5 linked regions of the Oryctolagus cuniculus genome follow. The protein of the gene in region 1 binds, or shares a complex with, the protein of each later gene. Links are inferred from orthologs where the notes say so. Each region holds a gene or a part of one and is shown in the gene's direction. Other genes may lie near its edges.

Evidence for each region. Proteins that work in one complex are often made in the same cells at the same time.
Region 2: POLR2K (region 1) and GTF2H4 share a complex: the UniProt entries of both Homo sapiens proteins name them as parts of the TBP-based Pol II pre-initiation complex. The link is inferred for Oryctolagus cuniculus from reciprocal best matches to the Homo sapiens genes POLR2K and GTF2H4.
Region 3: POLR2K (region 1) and TAF1B share a complex: the UniProt entries of both Homo sapiens proteins name them as parts of the pol I pre-initiation complex. The link is inferred for Oryctolagus cuniculus from reciprocal best matches to the Homo sapiens genes POLR2K and TAF1B.
Region 4: the proteins of POLR2K (region 1) and POLR1B are in contact, whole or in part, in a cryo-EM structure (PDB 7OBA), measured with the Homo sapiens proteins. The link is inferred for Oryctolagus cuniculus from reciprocal best matches to the Homo sapiens genes POLR2K and POLR1B. Residues at the interface, in NP_005025.1 of Homo sapiens: Met15, Tyr17, Gly20, Glu21, Ser30, Arg31, Asp32, Pro33, Ile34, Arg35, Cys39, Gly40, Tyr41, Arg42, Ile43, Met44, Tyr45, Lys46, Lys47, Arg48, Arg51, Val53, Val54, Phe55; in NP_061887.2 of Homo sapiens: Val87, Ile92, Cys93, Lys94, Glu95, Val98, Ala101, Glu102, Gly105, Arg106, His159, His160, Gln704, Asp705, Val793, Phe794, Gln805, Asp808, Asp809, Asp810, Leu812, Pro813, Phe814, Ile815, Gly816, Ala817, Lys818, Leu831, Val848, Asn851.
Region 5: POLR2K (region 1) and GTF2A1 share a complex: the UniProt entries of both Homo sapiens proteins name them as parts of the TBP-based Pol II pre-initiation complex. The link is inferred for Oryctolagus cuniculus from reciprocal best matches to the Homo sapiens genes POLR2K and GTF2A1.

The regions. Positions count from the first base shown.
Region 1 is NC_091437.1:125,591,827-125,596,889, forward strand, and holds POLR2K (DNA-directed RNA polymerases I, II, and III subunit RPABC4), read left to right. Parts: upstream 1-1,902; 5' UTR 1,903-2,605; intron 2,606-3,200; 5' UTR 3,201-3,209; coding exon 3,210-3,270; intron 3,271-3,565; coding exon 3,566-3,658; exon of another isoform or gene 3,659-3,689; intron 3,690-4,284; coding exon 4,285-4,307; 3' UTR 4,308-4,638; downstream 4,639-5,063. UniProt on the Homo sapiens protein: DNA-dependent RNA polymerase catalyzes the transcription of DNA into RNA using the four ribonucleoside triphosphates as substrates.
Region 2 is NC_091436.1:139,556,724-139,561,481, reverse strand, and holds the start of GTF2H4 (general transcription factor IIH subunit 4), read left to right. Parts: upstream 1-1,755; 5' UTR 1,756-1,976; intron 1,977-2,586; 5' UTR 2,587-2,589; coding exon 2,590-2,729; intron 2,730-3,026; coding exon 3,027-3,131; intron 3,132-3,754; coding exon 3,755-3,886; intron 3,887-4,195; coding exon 4,196-4,292; intron 4,293-4,385; coding exon 4,386-4,474; intron 4,475-4,688; coding exon 4,689-4,758. UniProt on the Homo sapiens protein: Component of the general transcription and DNA repair factor IIH (TFIIH) core complex, which is involved in general and transcription-coupled nucleotide excision repair (NER) of damaged DNA and, when complexed to CAK, in RNA transcription by RNA polymerase II.
Region 3 is NC_091433.1:192,381,148-192,386,207, reverse strand, and holds the start of TAF1B (TATA box-binding protein-associated factor RNA polymerase I subunit B), read left to right. Parts: upstream 1-2,057; 5' UTR 2,058-2,158; coding exon 2,159-2,176; intron 2,177-5,031; coding exon 5,032-5,060. UniProt on the Homo sapiens protein: Component of RNA polymerase I core factor complex that acts as a GTF2B/TFIIB-like factor and plays a key role in multiple steps during transcription initiation such as pre-initiation complex (PIC) assembly and postpolymerase recruitment events in polymerase I (Pol I) transcription.
Region 4 is NC_091433.1:113,612,504-113,617,440, forward strand, and holds the start of POLR1B (DNA-directed RNA polymerase I subunit RPA2), read left to right. Parts: upstream 1-1,934; 5' UTR 1,935-2,037; coding exon 2,038-2,214; intron 2,215-4,373; coding exon 4,374-4,541; intron 4,542-4,708; coding exon 4,709-4,855; intron 4,856-4,937. UniProt on the Homo sapiens protein: Catalytic core component of RNA polymerase I (Pol I), a DNA-dependent RNA polymerase which synthesizes ribosomal RNA precursors using the four ribonucleoside triphosphates as substrates.
Region 5 is NC_091451.1:27,055,249-27,060,220, reverse strand, and holds the start of GTF2A1 (transcription initiation factor IIA subunit 1), read left to right. Parts: upstream 1-1,969; 5' UTR 1,970-2,423; coding exon 2,424-2,453; intron 2,454-3,072; exon of another isoform or gene 3,073-3,209; intron 3,210-3,396; exon of another isoform or gene 3,397-3,502; intron 3,503-4,972. UniProt on the Homo sapiens protein: TFIIA is a component of the transcription machinery of RNA polymerase II and plays an important role in transcriptional activation. TFIIA in a complex with TBP mediates transcriptional activity.

The DNA.
Region 1 (5,063 bases):
ACAAAAATAGCAACTTCCATCTCCATAACCATATTAAAAGAAGTTAAAAGCACTCCTGTCCAAGATGGCAAGACAACCACCCTCATTAGCACAGAACAATGCAGTGATGTCTGCCATGCAGTAAGTGCTCAAGGAAAGCTAGCTCTTGTTGACAAAGGGTAGCTTCTATAGAGCATGCTTCAGCGTGCTATGGAGTGACGCTGAAACTCCCGGTTCCAGCTGCTAGGAAGGTAGGTATCATACTGGGAACAAGTATGTACACGTGTAGATCTGAATCTCTGTGCTATCATTTGTCACTACCCTACCATTTCATAGGGTACCAGGCAGGATCCATTCGAATTCTACATGGGTTGATCCATTCATCTCCACGCATCATCAGAATCACCTTGATACTTTGATTGCTGTTAGAAAACAAGACAGCTTGAAACGAGTTGCAGTTCTAGAACCACTCTCTCATCTTTATCCTAAGATAATGACTTTGTCTATACATCTCGTACAGAAGCCTATTGCGACTCGTGTATTGAATGACTGCTTCTCTTTGATTGTAACAGGGGTGATGGTCATATGTATGCTGTGTTAGCATGTTTGTGGAGGAAGAAGCAGGAAATTGCTGTTTCCCCAAAAATATTTGATTTTTTATGTGAAAATCTCCATTTAAAAATGTTTATTTATTTGAAAGGCAGAGAGAGAGAGAGAGAGAGAGGTGTCTTCCATCCACTGGTTCACTCCCCAAATGGCCTCACTGGCCAGGACTTGGCCAGACCAAAGCCAGGAGTCAGGAGCCTCCTCTGGATCTGACACGTGTGTGCAGGGGCCCAAACAGTTGGCCATCCTCTGCTGCCTTCCCAGGCATACTAGCAGGGAGTGGGATTGGAAGAGAAGTAGTTGAGACTTGAACCACTGCCCATATGGGATGCTGATGTCACAGGCAGTGGCCCTACCTGCCACACTGCAATGCTGGCCCTAATACTATTATTTTATTACAGAGGCACAGAGGCAGAGAGTGAATCAGCTGGCTCGCTCCCCAAATGCACACAACAGCCCTGGTTGAAATCAGGAGCCAGTCACTTAATCCAGTTCTCCCATGTGGGTGGGAGGGAATCAAGTACTTGAGCCAGAAACTGCTGCCTCCCAGGACGGCCATCAGCAGGAAGCTGGAATTGAGAAGTGGAGCTGGGCTAGGCCAAACTCCTGCCCCCTGGAAAGACAGGGAAATCCCAGTTGAATGTCTCAAGTTGGTTTGTGGAGATGCAACCACACAGTTTTAACTTCTGGAAATGAAAGGTGAAGCTAAAGTTCTCAAGTTGATGGATGGAGTCCTACTTAATAAGATACCAAAGACACAGTGCATGTGGGGGAAGCAAGCCTGCTTCTACAATTAACTTTATAATAACTGTTAACAATTATTTCTGGGGCCAGAGCCGTGGCGCAGCAGGTTAACCCCCGGCCTGAAGCGCCAGCAGCCCATGTGGGCGCCGGTTCTAGTCCTGGCTGCTCCTCTTCTGATCCAGCTCTCTGCTATGGCCCGGGAAAGCAGTGGAGGATGGCCCAAGTCCTTGGGCCCCTGCACCCACATGGGAGACCAGGAAGAAGCTCCTGGCTCCTGGCTTAAGATCGGGCAGCTCCGGCCGTTGCTGCGAATTGGAGAGTGAACCATCAGATGGAAGTCCCCTCTCTCTCTGGTTCTGCCTCTCCTCTCTCTGTGTAACTCTGACTTTCAAATAAATAAATCTTTAATTATTTCTATAAAGTTGTAATAATTTCATTTTCTTAGCTCTGCTTCTATTCTAAGTAAAATATCTTTTGTGAAAGAAGTAAATGAATGTAAATGTTCGAATCTAATCGGCATTTATGCCACTGAATATTCTTTGAAAGAATGCAACTCCCACAAGCACGTCTTTTTTTTTTTTTTTTTTTTTTCTCCTAGGAATACATGGGACCAAGGGAGGGCCAGTGAACCGCTAAAGCTACCAAAATCCTTTAGCTTTAAGTGCGAGGTGTCGAGGGCGCTGCCCCGCAGGTGCGCCTGCACTGTAAAACGAGTAACAGGCGTGGAGGCGAGGGAGAAGCAAAGGGCTGGAGAGCAAAAACACGATCAAGCATGACAAGGACGGGAGGCGGCTGGCACACAGCCCCAGCACAGGTACCCAACAACCTGAAAACAGCCTAGAATGTGCTTTTCTACGGGGTAACAAAAAAAAAAAAAAAAAAAATCACTGGTTAACCGAGTCTAAGTCATCAGAGGAACGGCGCGTTCAGGATTCCACCGGCACTTGTCACCTCCGTCCCTCTTAGTCTCGGTCCTTCCGGAAAAGCGTTCATTTCCGCCAATCTCACGAGTCAGAAATACAAACTTCCTTTGAAGAACTGTTAAAATGATTTTCTTTCCTGAAAAATGAGAATAGCTAAGTGTTAAAAAATGTGCTTGATGTCCACAGAGTCCGTTGCGAGCAAGAAACTAGTTTTAGAGTCTTGCGCAAACTCGGTTTCCGGGCCGGGCCGGGGCGGAAGGGGCGGTGCTCGTCTTGCGTCACAAGCCAGCGCCGGAAGTTGACAGCGACACTGCGTGTTGGGAGCAGATGCGGAGTTTCTCCGTTCTACGCAGGTAAGGAGTTATGGGGCTGGGGTTTAGGTGTGGGTATTTGAGCCAAACCAGAAAGACACTTGGGGGCTAAGAAGGTCCAGTGCGAGGTTAGAGTCAGGAGATGCTGGTGGAGGAGTTGGTGCCGTCAGTGCTTTGCCTGGTTTCTTTTAGTTGAGCTGTTTAGCCATTGGGAATTATTTTAGTATTCTTCCCGGCGGTTAGTCTGTTCCGTTTTGGAGGGATATTCATGTGTTAGATGAGAACTCGAGTTTTGAGCCGAATCTGAATCCTTTTGCCTGCGCAAACTAGTATCTCTCAGCCTCGCTTTCTTCGTGTATAAAACAGGAGTGACACTTGAGGGTTGTTGTGAAGATTATAATGAAGGAACAAAATGCGGATCATTTTCTGTCGTGCCCAGTTTGGGGTCGACTCTCAGTACTTGTGTGTGTCTGTGTGGTTTGCCCCTTAGACCTAACTCCCAGGCACGGAGAAGAGCGCAGATGAGGGGGAACTGGGATCTCTTTCAGTTTTTCCTGAAAAAACAAGGGGAGGGAGGGCTGTTCGGGTTTGTGAGGAACCCCTTTGAAATACTGAGGATTTGATTCTGTGTTTGCAGGGACTGACAATGGACGCCCAGAAAGACGTTCAGCCCCCAAAGCAGCAGCCAATGATATATATTTGTGGAGGTAAGGATAACGCTACATAAAGTAAGAGTATTTTGCTTAATTTGTTTTTGAAATTATTACATTTATCCTTTGAATGAATGAGTCATTGGTGTTTAAAGTTATAAAGGAGCGCCTCGTAGCACCACTTAAAACTCTTATTTGCTCTGGAAAAACAGCATTGCCCACAACTCTCTTCTTTCCCATTTAGTATATTTTGTAATATCATACCCTTGCCTGATATGGTTAAGATAATTTGCCTGTCTGCACTGTTTTCCTTTTAAATTTGAGTAAGCCTTTTTTTTTTTTTTCTCCCTAGAATGTCACACTGAAAATGAAATAAAATCCAGGGATCCAATCAGATGCAGAGAATGTGGATACAGAATAATGTACAAGAAAAGGACAAAAAGATGTATCCTTTAACTCTACTTTTAAAATCTGAGGTAGGAGCCAACTGTAGAGTGATGCAGGGGTTGATAGACACTACTTCTGGTAGAAACCGTAAGAACTTTGGATTAATTAAAGAGATATTATTAGCATTTTTCATAGACAAGAACTGAAGCACTAAATAATTGAAATACTAGTTGATTTTGATTCTCATAAGTTTATTTTCCAGAGATTCTGTATTTACATAAGAACTGATTGTTCAGCTTGACAAATAAATTATACAAGGAGTAATACAAATATTGTGTATGCTACTTAGTAGGAAAAAGTGGAGCCAACACATGAGACTAAACACTGAGAGTGAGTTGTAATTTTCTAACATAACTTTTTTAAAATCACAAGTTATTACCTTTAGCATTCAGTGCTTTTTGATACATTGGGTTTTTTTTCATTGGTTGGGAAAAGTGCTAATAAAAATTGAAAGCTTTTATTTACTTTATATCTAGTTGTTGTAATAAATAGTGAATTCCAGGTCTTTGTGCATTTTAAATTAACAAACTAGCTTGTTGCACATGTAAAGTGATTTGGAAGTCTTCAGTCTTTTTCTGTAATTTTCAACTACATTTTTTTTTTCCTTAACTCAGATGAATACAGTGGTGGTCTTTGATGCGCGTTGAAATGTGCATTCAGAGGAATATCTTCATTTGTACTTGCATTTGCTGTTAATGTTTCTCATTGTTGTATGGCTTTTGGTTTAGCATCTTTTTGAACTACGTATGATTTCATTTTGAACCATATTGTATTTAGGTATCTTTTAATGTAAAGAAGTTAGATTACATGACTTATAATTTAATTTTATTGTTTATGTAATGTGACACAAATGAAGGTTAAAATTACTTTCTTAAACTATGCTTGCAAGCAGAACCTAGAATCATCTGGGGTCTTTGTGAAAAATGCAGATTTTTAGAGCCCTCTGAAAGTCTAATTAAATAAATTCCTTGGAAATCACTGTGTCATGAGATGTTTGTGAAATTTCCAGTGTCTTTGGTACAGAATGTAGCAGTGTGTTTGCTGTCAGCATACGTATGTCATTTTAAGTTCAGTTTTTCATATACTACATGTCCTGTGGTAAGTAATAGGCCTTTCTGTATACTGTATGAGTATTTTTCAAACCTTGGATGAGGAAAGGGAAATGGTTTAATGGTTGCTTTTTTTTTTTTTTTTTTTAAGATTTATTTGAAAAGCAGAGTTGCAGAGATAGGTAGGGAGAGACAGAGAAAGAGATTGTCCATCTCTAGTTCTCTCCCTAGATGGCCACAACAGTCAGGGCTGGGGCAGGCCAAAACCAGGAGCTTCTAACTGGGTCTTCCATGTGGATGTAGGGGCCCAAATGTTTGAGCCATCTTCTGCTTTTCCAGGGTCAGGGAGCTGGA
Region 2 (4,758 bases), on another chromosome or scaffold:
GTACACCTTGACAACACTGAAGCTGTCAAGTCTTAATTTCTTTAACTAACATTTTATCATTTCTTTAATTTCTGAAGTTTTCTTTTTTTAAATTTATTTTATTTATTTGAAAGACAGAGTTACAGAGAGAGGTAGAAACAGAGACAGAGAGAGGTCTTCCATCCACTGGTTCACTCCCCAGATGGCTGCAACAGCTGGAGCTGCGCCGATCCGAAGCCAGAGAGCTGGATTGGAGGTGGAGCAGCCGGGACTAGAACCGGTGCCCATATGGGATGCCAGTGCTTCAGGTCAGGGCTTTAACCTGCTGTGCCACAGCACTGGCCCCATGTTCTGTTTCTTTGACTTTTCCTTAACTACTAGTGCGGTTCATGGTTTTCCAACTCTTCACAAGGCTTTGTATTTTTCCTGCTTATTGCTTGTGATCTCTTTTGCCAATCTTTTTTTTTTTTTTGTCTTTTTGCTTTGGAAGAGCCTTTTGCATTCTGTCTACTTCATCGAACATTTCTCCCCAAGCTTTATCTTTTTATTTTTGAAGTTTAACAGGCAGAGACAGACAGATGTTCCACCCACTGTTTCATTCCCCCAAATGCTCTCAATGACCTTGGGGGGTGGGAGTTTGAAATCTGGAGTCAGGAACCCCATCCAGGTCTCCCAAGTACCTGAGCCATCACCACCTGGTCCCATGGTCTGCTTTAGCAGGAGCCAGAGAAGGGTACGGAGCTCAGGCACCTTTATATGAAAAAGAGAGAGAGAGAGGGATCTTTCATCTGCTGATTCACTCCCCAAATGGCCGCAACCACCCAGGCTGGGCCAGGCCAAAGCCAGGAGCCAGGAGCCAGGAGCCAGGAGCTTCATTCAGGTCTCCCACATGCTCCCCTGCTCGCCCAGGCACATTAGCAGAGACCTGGACCGGAAGTGGAGCAGCCAGGACTGGAACTGGCGCACATATGGGATGTCGGCACTGCACGTCGTGGCTTAACCTGCTATGTTTAAAACTATTTATTAAAGGGGCCGGCACCCCATATGGATGCCAGTTTGTGTCCCAGCTGCTTCTGGTCCAATCCAGCTCTCTGCTATGGCCTGGGAAAGCAGTGGAAGATGGTCCAAGTCCTTGGGAACCCTGTACCCATATGGGAGACTCATAAGAAGCTCTTGGCTCCTGGCTTTGGATTAACATAGCTCCAGCCATTGTGGCCAACTGGGGGAGTGAACCAGCAGATGGAAGACCTCTCTCCTTATCTCTCCTTCTCTCTCTCTGTGACTCCGCTTCTCAAATAAATAAATAAATCTTAAAAAACCAGCCTATTTATTAAGGTCTTCTAACTAAACAGGGATTGGAAGCATGCTGAAAGACACTAAGACTTGTTGAATGCCCGCGAGTCAAGGCGCGTGGGATCGGGGTAGCAGTCAACTCGCGAAAGCGCTTACGCGGGGGACCTCTGACCTCAAACAATCTAGTTTTGTGCTCTCCAAGTGCCTCCCCACCCTGCCTTTTGGCGCCCTTCCACCAAGAAGCCCTCGGGGCATTTCTCTCCAGGTCCCGCCTCGGTCCACGCCGTTTAGAAGCGCCGTTAGCAGCGTGGGCGGAGAGAGGCGCGGAACAAAATGGTCCGACTTCTGGCGGCCCGGCTCGCTCAAGGGCCAGCTTGTCTCCGCCCGGCTTCCTCGCGCTGCCTTTCGGGAGTTGTAGTCAGAATAGCTTCAGTTTGCTCCGAGGTGCGTAGGGACAGGACTCCAACTCCCAGTACGCCCCGCGGCCCCCGAGTGCAGCGCCTATTTTCATCCTCCCCACTTTTCCACTCCTCTTCCTTTCCTTCTCTTCTGTTTTCCCCATTCTGGGCTGCTGTGAAATCCCTCGTTGCTCTCCATCTTTTTCTCTCATTTCCTGACCATCCTTTCCCCCATCTCCGGGACATCGGCTCCGTTTAAGTGACGGCTGGAGACTCGGGGCGAGTGAGGGGGGTCGGCACAGAGTGGTGAGCGGGCCCGGGAGGGCGGGTAGACGGAGGTAGAAGAGAGCAGAGAGGGGTGGGGAGTGGCAGAAAAGTCGGGGAGAAGAAGTCGGGGAGAAGTTAGGGGATGGGACGGTGTGGATCGGGGTGGACGCAGTGAGGTAGACTTGGGGGAGGTGGAAGTGGTGGGTCTGGATTTGAGCAGCGTGGAGAGCAGAGGTTTGTTTTGCCGTACCTCGCAGAAGAGGGGTGCGAAGTAGAGGATGGGGAAGACGGACAGAATTGGAGCTTGCAGACTGCTCTGCAGGAGGGGCGGAGGGAGAGAGTGGGCGCAGACAAGGTTCTTTGCTACCGCTTAGCTAAAGAAGACAGGTCGTTGCAACCAAAATGATTTTTGCAAGTAGAGGCCAGTTAGTAACTTGGAAATTGAGGGAAGTCTGGAGTGGTGGGCAGAAGTGGGATGAGGAGGCAGGAAAGAGGGGAGGCTGGTCAGGTTTGGAGAGACAGCAGGAGATAAATGACCTGGGAACGGACACCACGGGTATTACTGTGGGGACTGATGGATCTGGAGTCAGAGGTCAGGGGTGACCCTGGTGTGGATCGCGGGGGTGTGCGGCTAACACTTGTCTCTCAGGTGATGGAGAGTACCCCTTCTAGGGGTGGACTGAACCGGGTGCATCTACAATGCAGGAATCTGCAGGAATTCTTAGGGAGCCTAAGCCCTGGGGTTTTGGATCGATTGTATGGGCACCCTGCCACCTGTCTGGCTGTCTTCAGGTGAGGAGTTCCCTTCACGGCAGCAACTGTGGTGGAGAAATGTGGTAGGGCTGGCAGACGGCAATGAGTTATCCTGGGCAGAACCGTAGCAGCCTGGCACGGCTTGGGAATTACTCCAAATTGATGCAGATGGAACAGATGGGGGTTCTGGGGACAGCAGGACTGGTTAAGATACGTGTGTGTGTGTGTGTGTGTGTGTGTGTTTCTGGTGAGATGAGATGTTTGAGAGGCATGTCAGGCAGAGATAGAGATAGAAGGCAGCTTCTGGTTTTGATTTCTGACCTCTACCCTCTGCAGAGAGCTCCCATCTTTGGCTAAGAACTGGGTGATGCGGATGCTCTTTCTGGAGCAGCCTTTGCCGCAAGCTGCCGTAGCCCTGTGGGTGAAGAAGGAGTTCAGCAAGTGAGTCTCGACGGCACTCTCAGCCAGATACAAATTTCTCAGCAGCTAGATTTCTCAAACTGCTGTTCTTTGGCACACTCTCAGGAAATACTAATAGGTACACCACAAAGCTTGCATGCTGTGTCTTCCTTCTTGGAGAGTTGTGATGTCTGTAGCAAGGTTCTGAAATTTGTGTTTAGGGGCTGGCTCTGTGGCGTAGTGGGTAAAGCCACCGCCTGCAGTGCCGGCATCCCATGTGGGCTCCACTTCCGATCCAGCTCTCTGCTATGGCCTGGGAAAACAGTGGAAGACGGCCCAAGCGCTTGGGCCCCTGCACCCACGTGGGAGACCCGGAAGAAGCGCCTGGCTCCTGGCTTCAGATTGGCCCAGTTCTGGCCATTGAGGCCATCTGGGGAGTGAACCAGCGGATGGAAGATCTGTCTCTGTCTCTGCTTCTGCCTCTCTGTATCTTTGCCTTTCAAATAAATAAATAAATCTTTTTTTAAAAAGGAAGAAATTTGTGTTTAGGAGACAGTGACTTCACTCTGAAATGGTTCGGAAGAGGCAGAAGTGGAGCCTGTGTGGGCCTCCTTCGTTTTGTTCTCGGGACACCCACTTAGCACTCATCTCGGCTTCTGTTCCAGGGCTCAGGAGCAAAGTACGGGGCTGCTGAGCGGCCTCCGGATCTGGCACACCCAGCTGCTCCCTGGAGGCCTCCAGGGCCTCATCCTCAACCCCGTCTTCCGCCAGAACCTCCGCGTCGCCCTTCTCGGTGGGTATGTCACTTCCATCTCTTCCTAAGCCAGCCCAGGGGGACAGGTAGTTCAGCTGCCGGAGGGGGAGCTCCTGGGGGGAGAGGGAACTCCTGGAGGGGAGAGGAGACTCCTGGCGGGGAGTGGGGCTCCTTGGAGCCTTGCGGGGCCCACCTTTGAGAACTCCTTTAGGGAGAAGTTGAATCAGATACAGCTGCATGGTGTAGGAAGTGTCCCCTATGCATGGCCCTTGAGGTAAGGGTGGAGAGGGGGCAGACAGGCAGCAGGGAACAGAGCCAAGGTTCCTCACCTCTTGGTGCGTCCTGGCCTTAGGGGGAAGGCCTGGTCTGATGACACAAGTCAGCTGGGACCCGACAAGCATGCCCGGGATGTCCCCTCCCTCGACAAGTACGCAGAGGAGCGATGGGAGGTGAGGCCCCTGGGGTTCTGCGGTTCTGCGCTCGCGCCGCTGCATCTGTGGCTCGCAGAGGCATCAGCCTCTGTGTTGTCTTCTGCTCTGCAGGTGGTCTTGCACTTCATGGTGGGCTCCCCGAGTGCGGCCGTCAGCCAGGACTTGGCCCAGCTCCTCAGTCAGGCTGGGCTCATGAAGAGGTGAGCAAGCTGGAGGTAACGCGACTCCCTGCTCTGCCGTCTCTTTGGGTCCTTGGTAAATGGTGTCTGGAGTGGGACCAGGTTCGAGGGAGTTGACTGCAAAAGCAGAGCTGGGTCCAGCAGAGCCTAAAGACACCAGGCGGGAACCGGAGAGCGCTGCTGGCGGTGACGGTCCTTCCCTGCCTGTCCCCATCACTGCCCCCTGCGTCTCTAGTGCCGAGCCAGGAGAGCCCCCCTGCATTACCTCCGCCGGCTTCCAGTTCCTGCTGCTGGACACGCCCGCC
Region 3 (5,060 bases), on another chromosome or scaffold:
ATGGGATGCCGGTGCCGCAGGCGGAGGATTAGCCAAGTGAGCCACGGCGCCGGCCCCAAGTCCCATTGATCTTTGATTCTATCCTTGTACCACACTACTTACTATTTTACTTATTTACTTAACACTTAACTTTGCATTCCTAGAATAAACCTAACTTGGTTGTGATTTATTACCATATTTATGTACTGTTGAATACAACAAAATATATATTCAACTTACACTAACTTTTTTAAAAGAAATTTTTTTTCTATTTAAAAAATGTATTTGCAAGGCAGACAGAGTTCTCTCACCCACTGGCTCACTCCTCAAAAGTCCACAATGGGCAGGGCCAGGCCGGGCTTGAGCCAGAAGCCAGGAGCCAGGGGCCTGGGGCCAGGGGCCAGGGGCCAGGGGCTGGGAACTGCATTCGGGTCTTCCACGTGGGCGGCAGTGGAGCCAATGGAACACACTCCATTTGCTGACATTTTGTTTGGAACTTCCGTGTCTGTGTCTGAGAGACTGGTCTTTAATACTGAGTTTCTTAAAATATCTTTATCAGGTTTTGGTGTCAAGGCTGTGCTTGCCTCAAGGGAGGCTGACAAACACACACCCCCTCTCCATTATCTTAAGAGTCTATGGGCCAGCGCCATGGCTCAATTGGTTAATCCTCTGCCTACGGCGCTGGCATCTCATATGGGCACTGGTTCTAGTCCCGGTTGCTCCTCTTCCAGTCCAGCTCTCTGCTGTGGCCCAGGAGGGCAACGGAGGATGGCCCAGGTCCTTGGGCCCTGCACCCGCATGGGTGATCAGGAGGAAGCAGCTGGCTCCTGGCTTCAGATAGGCGCAGCGCCGGCTGTGGTGGCCATGTGGGGGGTGAACCAGCGGAGGGAAGACCTTTCTCTCTGTCTCTAACTCTACCCGTCAAAAAAAAAAAAAAAAAAAAAAAAAAAAGTCTATGTAGGATGGGTATCACTTCTTTCCCAAAAGGTTGGCAGAACTTACAGCTCTGCCGTTTGACCTGGGGGGTTCTTTCTGAGAATTTTTAATTCATGGAGGCAGTGTTTTAAATGAAGGATTGTTCAGCTTTTCTAGTTCTTCTTGCATACCTTTTGATAACTCTTTTTTTTTTTTTTTTAAGGAATTTCCCATTTCTTCTTTCCCGAACGTATTGGCCTAGGGTTGTTCACGACTTCCTCTTGCGATCTTTTAAATGAACGTGCACGGTGTTTGTAGAGATCCGCTGTCCTGGTACTGATGAACCTCGCTTTTCTCCTGCTCCGTCTCCAGCGTCTGCTGAATTTCTCAGCCTTTTCAAAGACGTAGTATTAGTCGTGGAGCCTCTCCACAGAATGTCATGTTGCTCTTTTCATCTCCTCCCTCCTGTTAGGCTTCCAGGTGACCCTTTCTTATTTTTCTGGTCAAAGATCCCCTCGGGGACACCTGTCCTCAGCACCCACTTCACACGGCAGCCCTCTCGCTCCCACTGGCCTGGGCACGCATCACCACTCCGCGGCCTGAGCGCGTCTTCTCCTTCCTTGTTTTCTACCTCTTCTCTCCGCACCAGAACACAGTTTCCCCGAAGGCCGGGGCGCTGGTGGACCTCGGGCACCGCTGACTCCCGGACTCAGCGTCCGCTCCCTGAGTCCCACGGGAGGCGCGGTCAGCACCCAACACCTGAGGTGCTCCCAGGTAACGTCTGATGCTTGCAGAGGGACACTGAGGCCGAGGCACGACTGGAAACCCAGGTCTCGTGGCCCCTCAGCAAAAGACGGAAGGGGTGGCCAGCCGTGGCCAGCCAACCGGAAGGGCCAGAATCGTCCATCTTGAGCAGCGAGGGCCCTGCTGCACTGCGTTCCTCGCACCCGAACAAGCACGTGGGGCTGCCAGGGTCGGACCGTGGGACACGACCGTGAAGGAACCCCCGGCATTGGCGTCGCCCCATTGCTCTTCGGTTGGTTTCAGACCCAGACCGGGCAAGGACGCTCGCTGGGAGGCGCACGCGGGATGTACGCAGCCGCGTCCTGTGGCACGCGGCGGCTTCCGGCCGCGGGTGCCCGGAACCTAAATTCGGAGGCGTGCGCTTCCGGCCGGAAGGTTCATCCCGACGGTCCCGGAAGCTGCGCTCGCTGCCTGGGTAACGGGCCCTGGCGGCGGCGGCTGTGGCGGCTGTGGCGGCGTGATGGACCTGGAGGAGGCGGTAAGGAGGCGGAGTGCCTGCCTGGCGGCCCCTCGAGCGCCGTGGCCGGAGGGCAGTGAGGCTGAGGAGGAGCGGCGGGAGGACGCCAGCCGGCTGCGCGGCCGGTGTGGGCAGGAGGGCGGCGCGCGGCTGGGGGAGCGGCTGGAGTCGGGATGGGGTCGCCGAGGGCGGAGGGTGAGGCCGCTCAGGTTTGCGGGGCGGCCCCCAGCGTGGCTCCTCGCTCCTGGGCGGGACCACCCCCGGGGCCCCCTGGGTGCTGCAGGGGCGGCGGGCAGAGCCCCAGGGCCCCCAGGACTCCCGCCCGCAGGTGCCCAGCGACCGGCCCAGCACGGGGTCGCCGGAGACGTTACCGAGCTGCCGACAGAAATCTATCTAAATCAATCAATCAATCAATCTATCTGTCTAAATCAATCTATCTATCTATGAATGACACATCTATCTATGAATGACACACTCCGGGTTTCTATCAATCAATCTATCTATGAATGACACATCTATCTATCTATCTATGACACACTCCAGGTCGTCTATCTATGACACATTTATCTATCTAAATCTATCAATCTATCTATCTATCTATGACACATCTATCTATGAATGACACACTCCCACTCTGGGTGTCTGTCTGTCTATCTATCTATCTATCTATGTATCTTTGACACACTCCTTGGAACGCCTATCTATCTATCTATTCTATCTATCTATCTATCTATCAATGACACACTCCAGGTCGTCTATCTATGACACATTTATCTATCTAAATCTATCAATCTATCAATCTATCTATCTATGACACATCTATCTATCTATCTATGACACATCTATCTATGAATGACACACTCTGGGTGTCTGTCTATCTATCTATGTATCTTTGACACACTCCTTGGAACGCCTATCTATCTATCTATTCTATCTATCTATCTATCTATGAATGACACACTCCGGGTCGTTGGAGCGGATTCAGGAGTGCTGGGTATCTGATCAGCGATAAGTCACGTGGCGATAGGCTCTCTCAGAGGAGCGAGGGAGGGCTGCTGGGTGGTTCACTTCTGTGCCCGGCTGCCCCCGAGCCCCCAGCGCCCACCGAAATGCGTGCTGCGCCCAGAGTTGATGCCCGTTACGCGGCCCGAAGAATAAGCAGAAACTTGAAAGAGCTCGCATACGAACGTCTGGTTTCTGGAGCTGGCCTTGAGCACCGCCGAGACGTTGGTCGGGATGCCTGGGTCCCCCTGCTGCCGGGTACCCTGGGGACAGCGCGGTGGCACCCCTGCCACCCAGTGGGAGACCCAGGTTAAGCTTGGGGCTCCTGGCTGTGGCCGGGCCTTGCTTTTCTTCTTGTGGCCATTTGGGGCGTGAACCAGGGCATGGGAGAGCTCTGTCAGTCTCTCTCTGCCGCGCAAGTAAAAATCTTTTAAGAAATCTGGTTCCGGAGCTGGCGCTGTGGGTAGAGGGTTAAGTTTAAGCTTCGCCTGCGGTGTCGATGCTTGGACAGCGGTTCGAGTCCCGGCTGCTCCACTTCTGTTCCAGCTCCCTGCCTGGGAAAGCAGCAGAAGATGGCCCAAGTGCAGGGCCCCTGCACCATGTGGGAGACCTGAAGAAGCTCCTGGCTCCTGGCTTTGGCCTGGCCCAGCCCTGGCTATTGTAGCCATTTGGGGAGTGAACCAGCTCATGGAAGCTCTTTCTCTTCTTTCTGTGTCTCTGCCTTTCAAATAAATAGATGAATCTTAAGAAAGAAAGAAATCTGGTTCCTTGCGGTGAATGTGTGCTTTTAGTGTCCCAGAGGAACTGCAAGTGGTGTTTCTGTACTGATGCGTTCTTACATTTTGTCATTTTTTTCTCACAGCACTATTTCAAGGTGTTTTTTTTTTTTTTAATTTATTTATTTGAAAGGCAGAGTTAGAGAGAGAAAGGTGTGGGGGAGGCTTTCCATCTGCTGGTTCACTCCCCAAATGGTGGCAACAGCCAGAGCTGGGCTGATCTGAAACCAGGAGCCAGGAGCCTCTTCTGGGTCTCCCACACAGGTGCAGGGGCCCAAGGACTTGGGCCACCTTCTACTGCTTTCCCAGGCCACAGCAGAGAGCCAGATGGGAAGTGGAGCAGCCGGGACTGGAACTGGCTGTGGCATGTGGGTACTGCAGGCGTAGCTTTCTCCTGCCATGCCACCATGTCAAGCCCTTCAGGGATTTTTTTTTTTTTTTTAATAAAAACTCATCTTTGGGTCGGCGCCGCGGCTCACTAGGCTAATCCTCCGCCTAGCGGCGCCGGCACACTGGGTTCTAGTCCCGGTCGGGGCGCCGGATTCTGTCCCGGTTGCCCCTCTTCCAGGCCAGCCCTCTGCTGTGGCCAGGGAGTGCAGTGGAGGATGGCCCAGGTGCTTGGGCCCTGCACCCCATGGGAGACCAGGAGAAGCACCTGGCTCCTGGCTCCTGCCATCGGATCAGCGCGGTGCGCCGGCCGCAGCGGCCATTGGAGGGTGAACCAACGGCAAAGGAAGACCTTTCTCTCTGTCTCTCTGTCTCTCTCTCTCTCTCACTGTCCACTCTGCCTGTTTAAAAAAAAAAAAAAAAAAAAAAACCTCATCTTTTTTCTAGCTTACCACTACATTTTTGACTTCTTTCTTTTTGCTAACAGACTGTGTCTTAGTGATTTTTAGCACCAATGTGGTTGCTCACTACTCAGAAGACTGAGTCGCCCTTCTTGTTCGCAGTGTCTCGCGGAGAGCTTTTCGATGTTCTGTGCTTTCGTATTTATCGGGTGAGATTGCCAGGAAAGCTCTGTGCGGAACTGCGCAGAAATGCAGGGTACACAGTGTGGGGCGTGTTTGCCGGTAACACCTTTTCTCTCCTCTTGTGCAGAGAGAGTTTCAGGAGCGCTGTACTCAATG
Region 4 (4,937 bases), on another chromosome or scaffold:
GTGCAAGGGCCCAAGTCCCTGGGCCATCCTCCTCGGCTTTTCCAGGTGCATCAGCAGGGAGCTAAATTGAAAGTGAAGCAGGGGCCGGTGCTGTGACATAGCAAGTAAAGCTGCTGCCTGCAGAGCCGGCATCCTATATGGGCACATCCTATATGTAACATCCTATATATAACAGGATGCCGCCAATAAAAAACAATAGTAAGTACTGGTAAGGAGATGGAAAAAATCAGACCCTTTATACATTGGTGTGGGGAATGTAGAATTGTGGAACAGTTCCTTCATAAAACAGTTCTTTACAACCTCAAAAAGTTAAGCACGGGGGCAGGCAATGCCTAGCATTTAAGTCTGCAGCTAAGGCTCTTATGCACCACAGTGAAATGCCTGGGCTCCACTCCTGGCTCCAGTTCCTGAGTCCAGGTGCTAATGTGAAACTCAGGAGGCAGCCATGATGGCTCAAGTCATTGGGTTCCTGTCAGCTATGTGGGAGACCTGGGTTGAGTTCTAAGCTCTCACTTTTGCCCTGGCCCAGCCCTGACAGTTGCGGGCATTTGGAGAAAGAATCACAAGTTGGAAGTTCTTCATCTCTTTTCACTCTGCCTCTCAAAATAAATAAATAAATAAATAAATAAATATGTAGTTAATGTATGACTCAGAAATCCCATTTCTAGCTATAAAACCTAAAAGGATTGAAAACCTGTCCATACAAAAACTTGTGCAGATATTCACAGCATTATTTGTAATAGCCAAACAGTGGAAACAACCCAAATGTCTACCAACTAGCTAAATAGATAAATAAAAATACAATACACACAATGGGTTTCATTTTTTAAAATGGAAGAACAGAGGCTGTCTATTATAGCACAGTGGGTTAAGCCACACTGCAACCCATATGAGCAACAGTTTGTGTCCTGGCTGCTCCACTTCCAATCCAGCTCCCTGCTAATGTGCCTGGGAGAGCAGTGGAAGATGGCCCAAGTGCTTGGGACCCTGCCACCCACACAGGAGACCCAGATAAAGAGTCCTGGACTCCAGGCTGGTGCTATGGTGTAGTAGGTTACGCCTCTGTCTGTGGGGCCAGCATCCTAAATGGGTGCTGGTTCAAGTCCTGGCTGTCCCACTTCTGATCCAGCTCTCTGCTATGGCCTGGGAAAGCAGTGGAAGATGGCCCAAGTCCTTGGGCCCCTGCACCTGCATGGGAGACCCGGAAGAAGCTCCTGGCTCCTGGCTTTGGATCAACACAGCTCTGGCCACTGTGGCCATCTGGGGAATGAATCATTGGAAGTAAGACCTCTCTCCCCCTTTCTCTGTAACCAGCAAGTGGAAGATCTCTTTTTCTCCCTCTCTGTAACTCTGCCTTTCAAATAAAATAAATACATTTTTTAAAAGAACCAAAAAACAAAACAGTTCTGGGCTCCTGACGGTGGCCTGGGTTGCAGCCATTTAGGGAGTGAACCAACTGACAGAAGATCTCTTTTTCGCTCTCTTTCAAATAAATATTTTTTTTTTAAAGCGGAAGAACATGTTTTATTGGAAAGGCAGACGGTCAGACACAGAGCTCCCATCTGCTGGTTCACTACCAAATGTCTGGAACAGCCAGGGCTGGGCCAGGGGCAAAGCTTAGAGCCCGGAACTCAATACAAGACCGCGCTCTCCTTGAAGCCACAACTCGAGCTGAGTGTCTCCCCAAGTCCGCTCTCCGGCGATCCTTACTGAGCGAGAAGGACCAAAGAGGTTACCAGCTAAATTGGGCTTGCAGCAAGCTTCACTTCCGGTATTTGGGGGCGGAGGAAGGAAGGATTTGAGTGGGGCGGAAGAGAGTTGAAGGTGCGCTCTCGCCCTGTTCTAGTTCTGTACAGTTCTAACCGGTCCATTCGCTCCATGGTTTTGGTTCCAAGTCGACCCTATAACACCGGAGGGCCGAAGGCGGGCGGAACATGAAGAAACTACATTTCCCAGCAGGCCGCGGGCGCCGGGATTCCGGCAGCGACTCCTGCGTGTGGCGCGCTGCCGCTGGCTTCTCGGTGCTCCGGCGGACACATGGATCCGGTTGGCCGGTGGCGGACCCTGCCCAGCGGGCCTAGCCTAAAGCACTTGACCGACCCCTCTTACGGGATCCCGCGGGAGCAGCAAAAGGCGGCCTTGCAGGAGCTGACGCGGGCGCACGTGGAGTCGTTCAACTACGCGGTGCGCGAGGGGCTCGGCCACGCGGTGCAGGTGAGCGCGGTGCCTCCCCCGGCGCCTCGGAGGGCTGTGTGCGCCGGCAGGCTGGCGGAGGAGGGGGCTGGGCAGGGTGCATGAGGCTGGGGGCTCGTGGGGGAGAAGGTCCCGCAGGCGGGCGGGCGACGGGGTCCCGGCGAGGCGCCGGGGAGGCTCCGGTTTTGCTTAGCTTCTGTGGAGTGGATCCTTCGATTCTGCGGCTCAGAATTCATGTGTGCATCATGTGGATTTTTTCAGAACACAACTAGTTTCATCCTTCGGGGATTCCTAATTCACAGATTCATTTACTCACTAAAATTTACTTGTGACTTTCCGTGCGTAGAACAGCAAACATTTGAGTTGCCCGATGCGCGCGTTCCCAGCTGAGATCCAATAAGACAGTGTTCTGCCTCTCGATTTCAGTTCTCAGACATAAACACCTGTTCTTTTTGCTGTCTGGTGCAGCCTTTTTCACATTTTTGTACTGTTTGTTGATAATTTTGCAACTTGAAATAGTGCCTGAAAACATACATTGAAGTACTTTGTGTTGTTGCTGGGCACAGGAAAGCTGTGATGAAAATACACGTTAGGTAAGCTTCATTCAGACCATTCTGCTGTTAAATTTATTATTTATTTATATGAGAGGAAGAGAGAGGGAGCTCTTGCCCACTGGTTCGCCACCCCAAATGCCCGCAGCAGCAGGGGCTGGGCCAAGGCAGGGACCAACTGCTTGATCATCACCGCTGCCTCTCGGGGTCTGCATTCGCAGGAAAGCGGAGTCAGAGTTGGGACGCAGGTGCAGGCGCTCCAGGGTGGAATGTGGGCATCATAAGTGCTAAGCTGAACGCCCGCTGCTCAGCCGTCTATCAAGTGAGGCGCCCTTTAACAGGAACAGGTAGGGCGAGGTTCTGTACTGATCGGCTGATGGCAAGCTGTGACAGAGGCTCTCAGGGACTTGACTTCGTGTTTCCCCGGAGCGTGGGTCAGCGTTTGCGGTAACTTTAAAGAATTTCACTAACGTGAGCGTCAAGGCTCAGCGGCGTTTACCTGCCGAGAGTGCAGCTGTGGCTTGCACGAGTGAGTCTTTTTTTTTTTTTTTTTTTTTTTTTTTTTAAGATTTATTTATGTGAGAGGCAGAGTAACAGAGTTGGGGAGGGGAGGAGAGAGAGAGTCTTCCATCCACTGGTACACCCCCCAAATGGCTGCAACACCTGGGGCTGGGCCAGACCGGAGCCAGGAGCTGGAGAAGCAGATCTTCCTCTTCTTCTTCTTCTTCTTTTTTTTTTTTTAATTTATTTGACAGGTAGAGTTATAGACAGTGAGAGAGAGAGAGATAGAGAGAAAGGTCTTTCTTCCATTGGTTCACTCCCCAAGTGGCCGCTACGGCCGGCGCTGCGCCGATCTGAAGCCAGGAGCCAGGTGTCTCTTCCTGGTCTCCCATGCGGGTGCAGGGCCCATGCACTTGGGCCATCCTCCACTGCCCTCCCAGGCCACAGCAGAGAGCTGGCCTGGAAGAGGGGCAACTGGGACTGGAATCCAGAGCCCATATGGGATGCCAGTGCCACAGGCGGAGGATTAGCCAAGTGAGCCACAGCACCGGCCCCGAAGCAGATCTTCTAATTGCCTCTCCCTGTTTTGACACTACATCCCTTAGACATGAAATATATTTAACATTTCAGTTCTAAAGTACCATCAGTCTTAGATAAAACTGAGAAAAGCTGGGTTGAATTCACATGAGGGCGGATGGCCTGTGTATTCTTAGTCGGCTCCGCCGTCCGTGTTCCTGTCATTCTAACACTAAGCCGGAGGGTTGTTTGTGTCTGGTGGGCTGCCAGTGTGAGCCCAGTCGGAAGGAGGCTTCCCTCTCCTTGCTGTCTGAGCAGGGTCAGACTGGAGAAGGTCGGCGCTGGGGTCAGAGAGCAGGCGCGTTGGCCTGGTGCCAGCTGTATCCTGAGAGCCTCCTCGCTCTGCTCATGGCAGACAGAACAACCCCGAGTTAACGCGTGGCAGCCTGAAGTGCGTAGTGAAGAGTGGACCGCATGTCGTCTTAACTCTCTTCTGTTTGTCACGGTGGCGTTGCGGGCTTCAGTGCTTAAGGAACACAGGGATTTGCAGGAGTCCTAGAGAAAAAGTGCCTTGGAAATGCAGGCCGTGTAATCATGCGTATTGTATTCCAGGCCATAGCTCCCTTTGAATTCGCTTTCAAAGATGAGCGCATCACTCTTACCATCGTGGACGCTGTGATCAGTCCCCCCACGGTTCCCAAGGGCACCATCTGCAGAGAGTTCAACGTGTACCCAGCAGAATGCCGGGGCCGAAGGAGCACCTACCGTGGGAAGCTGACGGTGAGTGTGACCGCGCCTGGCTCCCACAGGGCGGATGGCTTCTGGGGTTCATACAGAATTCTGCCTTCTTGGTGCTGGCGTCTGAGAGCGCCCGTCTTTGAAACCTGAAGCATGAAGTCATTCGATGTAGTCTGCTTCCTAAGAGTGTTTTTCTCTTTTTCACCTAGGCTGATATCAGCTGGGCAGTAAATGGCACCTCCAAAGGAGTCATTAAGCAGTTTCTCGGCCATGTTCCCATCATGGTGAAGTCCAAGCTTTGCAACCTGTACAACCTTTCTCCCCAGGCCCTCATTGAGCACCACGAGGAGGCAGAGGTAGCGGTGGGGTCCGGGCCCCGGGGCAGTGAAGTTCCAGGGTGGGAAACGTGCTAGGAGCGGGTTTTCTTTCTCTGCTCCA
Region 5 (4,972 bases), on another chromosome or scaffold:
AGTTAGTTAGAATGGAATCCTTGAGGGTTTCTTAGATGTCAAGCACATGAATCAGAGAAAGGAAGAGACTTGGGTATTAGTAAAGTGCTTAGGTATCGCAGCCATTTAGAAGGCATAAAGAGAGGTCAACTCAGACCCTCTAGGGAGTGTGAAAGTCATAAGGACATTTTTAATCCAGTGAGGGGATTCCAGTATTTCACAAATCAGACCCACTGGCACATACATCTCATTGCCTTAGAGCAGAATCGTTGTGCAGAGCACAAATTTCATAGGTCTACTTCCTTGTCCATCTGCAGTGGTCTCAACCTAAATTGATAACAAAATACCTGACCACTTAGTCAAGTGTATCAGGTGATAGGATAGAAAACTAGGCGGAAGGTGAGGGATCTCAATGAAATTGGGAGTACCTCCAAGGAGGAAACAAAAAGTCCTCTTAAAACACTTTGCAGGGAGAACTACTAAGAGTGATGTTATTTGGGTACATTTTCAGGCTAATTGCCACCTGAATCTTAACTACACAAAAAATGTTGATAGAATCAGTTTCACATAAGCTACTAGGAACACAGATGTCCTGTGATTAATTTTTTCTTTAAGCACTTCCGACCAGGAGCTGTGCAGCGAACTACTAAGCAACAAACTGTGAAGGGCAGATTGGAGTTAGGAGCTAAACCATAGAGCTAAATACACTGTACGCCCTCACCCATTCACATTCCTATTTGCCATCTCCCATTTTCTATTAACGGCCTCTTGCTTTTCTAATCCTTTCCCGGAGCCTGGCAAGGTGCATCTTCCCCCCCCTGGTAGCATGCCTTTGATAAGTCTTCAAACCTGGTTTCACCCACACAACTCTTCTGATATTCTGTTTTGCTTTGCCTTTTGAAGATAAACCCCCTCACTCAAAATTCCCGGGCTAGAGAAAATGAGGTACTGAGGGTTCTGCCTTCGGGACAGCGCACTCTGTTCCGCGTGAGATGTTGACATCAAAGCTGGCTTTGCTTGGGTGAAGCAGGTCAAACGCCTATCGAATGCCCTCCACGACACGGACACATGCTCCCAGCTCTCTCGCAGGGAGAGGCCGTGTTAACTGGTGGGTCAAAGGCTCGTACTTCACGTGTGATTAGTCACTCCAGGCTAGCCACGTGGAGTCATGGCATGTTGGCAACATTTTTAAAACGCCAGGCAAAGTCATCGCTCTTCCATAGTCCAGCGGCTGGAGTTTCGCGCTTTGTCATTTCCATCAGGCTGCGAAGTCATTAAAACCACGCGGGCTAGCGGGGGCCGAAAGTTTGGGGACACTTCGCCCCCAAATCCTTGATACCCAGACTCAGCGTGGGGACAAACAGCTGCGCCGGCTTCGGAGGTTGCTAATTCTGGACCGTGCAGACCGAGGACCCAAATAGACTCCCACCCGCTTTTGAAACAGACTCAGCCCTGCGAGAAGAGGCCCACTCAGACGCGCGCAGCCCCGGGGCCACAAGATGACTCCGCACTTCACACCCTGTCCCGAGCCAGGCGCGCCAGGGGCCCGGAAGCCGCTCCACGTGACCCGCGCTCCTCCTCGGCCGCGCCGAGCGCGGCGGCGGCCACCGCCCCTTTCCCATACCCCAGCTCCCGCAGCGCCGCTCGGCGCGCAGACGTCTGACAGGAGGCGTTCCCAGCTAGCTGAGCCCTCGGGTGTCACTAGAACTCGCGCACCTTTCCCAGCAATGCCTTGCAAGCTCCCGGTCGCAGAGGGCTGCAGGAGACTTCCGCCTGGTTGCCAACCACGTGATCACGCGAGACTTGGGGAGCCGGCGGGCCAACTCCACTACTCCAGTCCCCGGGCTCCGCCCGCCCAGCGCCCTCCTTCGCGCGTAGCGACGCGGCGCGAGGCGGCCTCCGCCCCGGCGCGCCTGCGCACGCGGCTTCTCGCGGTGTCTCGCGCTCCGCCCCGCCCACCTCTGCCCCCGCCCTTTCCGCCCCTCCCTCCCCCTCCGCCCTGTCTCTCGGCGGCGGCGGCGGCGGCTCGCGCAGCTTGTTGGCTCGCTATATAAAGGGGAGAAGCGAGCGGACCGGACGGCTGGAGCTGCAGCCGGTGGCGGCAGCGGCGGCGCGGGGAGCGGTGACCGGTGGTTTCCCTCCTTGGCACGGGGTGGGGAGTGGGCAACGCCCCCCGGACCCCCGAAGGGTCTTGGCGTGTTTTTTTTTTTTAAGGCATTTCTCGAGGTTTTTAGCTTCGGGAGGAGAGAGTGTCCCCTTCCTTCTCCTCTCACCGCTTCCCCCTCTCCCTCAGAATCGATTTTGTTTCCATTTTTTGCCCCAATCTGTGGTGACTTGGGTCGCCCTCCGGGTGGTTTTTCTTTTCTTTTTTTTTTTTCTTTTTGGTTTTGTTTTGACCGTGTTTTCCCGGGGTTACCCCCGTGTTGTTTGTGTTGTGTGTGGAAATGGCGAACTCGGCAAATACAAACACCGTGGTAAGGACGTGGTTCGGTGGCCGGAGGGGGCTTCGTTCAGGCGGCAGCAACGGCCGGACCGGGCGGGGGCGGGGACGGCGGCGATCCCGGCCTCGGCGCTGGAGCCGCCCGCGCGGTCGCCGCCGCCGCCGCTTCCCGCCTCGGGCGGCCCGGGCCGGGGCGGCGGGCGCGGGGGGGGCGCCGAGGGCTCGCGGCGGCGGCGGCGGCGGCGGGGCGGGCGGGGGCGCCGGCGGGGCCTGGGGAGGTCCGGGCCGCGGAGGCCGTTGGGCCCGGGCTGGCGCGCGGCCCCGGCCCCCGGCCCCGGCCTGCGGGCGGGCGGGCGGGCGGCGAGCCGCCGCTTCCCGCGAAGGGGGCCCGTCGGCGCCGGCTCGACCAGGCTCCCCAAGCGGCCTCGGAATCAGATCCGCGGCTGGGGAATTGGGCCAGCTCCCGGGACCCGCCGGGATCCACTTGAACGCAGTGGAAGGCTTAGGGTTACTTGGAGGATTACTTTGGGTTTTTTTGTTTTTTGTTTTTTTCCTGGCGGTTGTGCTTTGGGGACCTTCAATGGGGCCATTTTATGTTAAAAAAAAAAAAAAAAAAACAGACGAAGGTTGAAAAGCACTTATCTCAGTTCCTTCCGAATGGGTAAAATGGCGAAGGGGAAGCAAAACCCCCGTCGTATCTTCAACTAGCAAAAGCACCAGAACAAACCCCAAAAAGCCTCCAGTGGTCAAAGTGCCCCGCTTGCGCCTTGAAATTTGCCTACTTCTTCCCGTGAGTCCCTTTTTGGTTCCTTGCGATCACGTAGGTTTGCAAAAAGCAGTCACATAAATAACCTTTTCAGTCACCAACGCAGTGTGATCACTAGCCCACCCAACTCTTCTTTTTACTACGACAATAAAACACGTTTTTGCCCGGTCCCGAATGCCGCGGACAAACCCGCGGCCGCCCGACACCGTACCGTTGGCGACTCGGGTCGATCCATCATGGCTGCGGCCGCTTACCCTGCTTTTCAGTCCCTGAGCCTTGTGGTCCTCCTCCCTTTGGCTGCCCTGTTTATATAGAGCCATTGCCGCTCTCTAATATAGACTCTGCCAGGATGGGAAGGTGCTTTTCAGGCCTACGTCACCGCCTCTCCATTTAAACACCAGATCCGGCTTTAAATAGTGAGAGCTGCTGAGCGGGGCTGGGAGGTGCGTGCTCCCGAGGCGAGAGGCAGGCGCGTGCGGAGCTCAATTTATTTCTAGGTCCTTTTCTGAGGCTGTAATTTCCCAGCGGACGAGGGCTGCTTTCAGAGCCCCAGTTTTTTGTTTGGATGCGGTAGCTAGGATTTGCTTCCTTTGTTTGGGGAAATGCGCTCTCTTATTGGAGTCCTTTTTTTATGTTAACATTTTTGATATTTTAAAACACGGATGGTTTAGTCGATTTTTGTGTATTGAAAGGTGTGCGTGTTATTGTAGGGAATTTTTTAAATGATTTTGTTGTTGGACTAGAACTTGGTTATGATAGCATGTTGTTCATCAGGTATTCAGGAAATGTTAGCAGTGTTTCATGTTTTACTCTAATGAGGATATGACGCTTCTCAAAGAAACAGCTAAGTTCCTAAAGCCTCAGTTTATCCACATACATTACTGTGTAGGACAATTGTGAGTTACAAGAATGAGGAGACCTACTGCAAACTGGCTTTTAAAATATTAAAGTTCTAAGTAGGTGTTGGTTTATTGCCCTGGATATTAATTTGGTATCCAATATAAAAATGATTCCAATTAATATGCCAGGATTGCAGCAGTACTGATACTTTTGAAAGAAACCTTCGAGTTGATCACTTGACTGGGCCACTAATGACCTTCTAATTTGCCACATTTTGAGCCTGGAATTGTCTTTAAAAATCAGGACAAATATAAATTACTTTTCATTTAGCAAAAAACTTCGCTCAAGTAAAGGATAATTTTTTAAAAATTTGAAAATCACTGATTTCAAATTCCCAAGAACCTTTAATGACATCAGTATTTTGAGGGCTTTTCAAATTGTAAGCAATTTTCCTCTTTAAGCATAGACCTCATAAGGAATACATATTCCCTTCATGCCTCCACTATAGTGATTATGAATACATTAGGTGGCCAAGTGTTGGTTCATTTAAGGCAGAAAAAGAACATCTCAAAGGCATGTTTGATTTGTTCAACAGGGAGGAGTACCAGAAGAAAACAGATTTTTTCCTGTAGACATTTGGGTCTCCAAGAGTTTTAGGGTAACTGACTTTAGAAACATCCGGTTTGCTGAAAAAATAATGTGTATCATCAAATTGAGATTTAAACCACCTACTTAAAATTATGTTGCCTATTTATAATGCCTTGTGGAGTCATTGGTAAAGTACATTTTATAGATATATTTCTATAACTCAGTAGTTAAATTGTTGTAAGCAAGATGATACCCATAGTCAGGTATAGTTTGCTTATATATAGACTCCGAATGTTGAAGGGAGGAAGCATTGTAGAGATGCTCTTTTAACAGATAATATCAAGTTCACATAGGTGGAT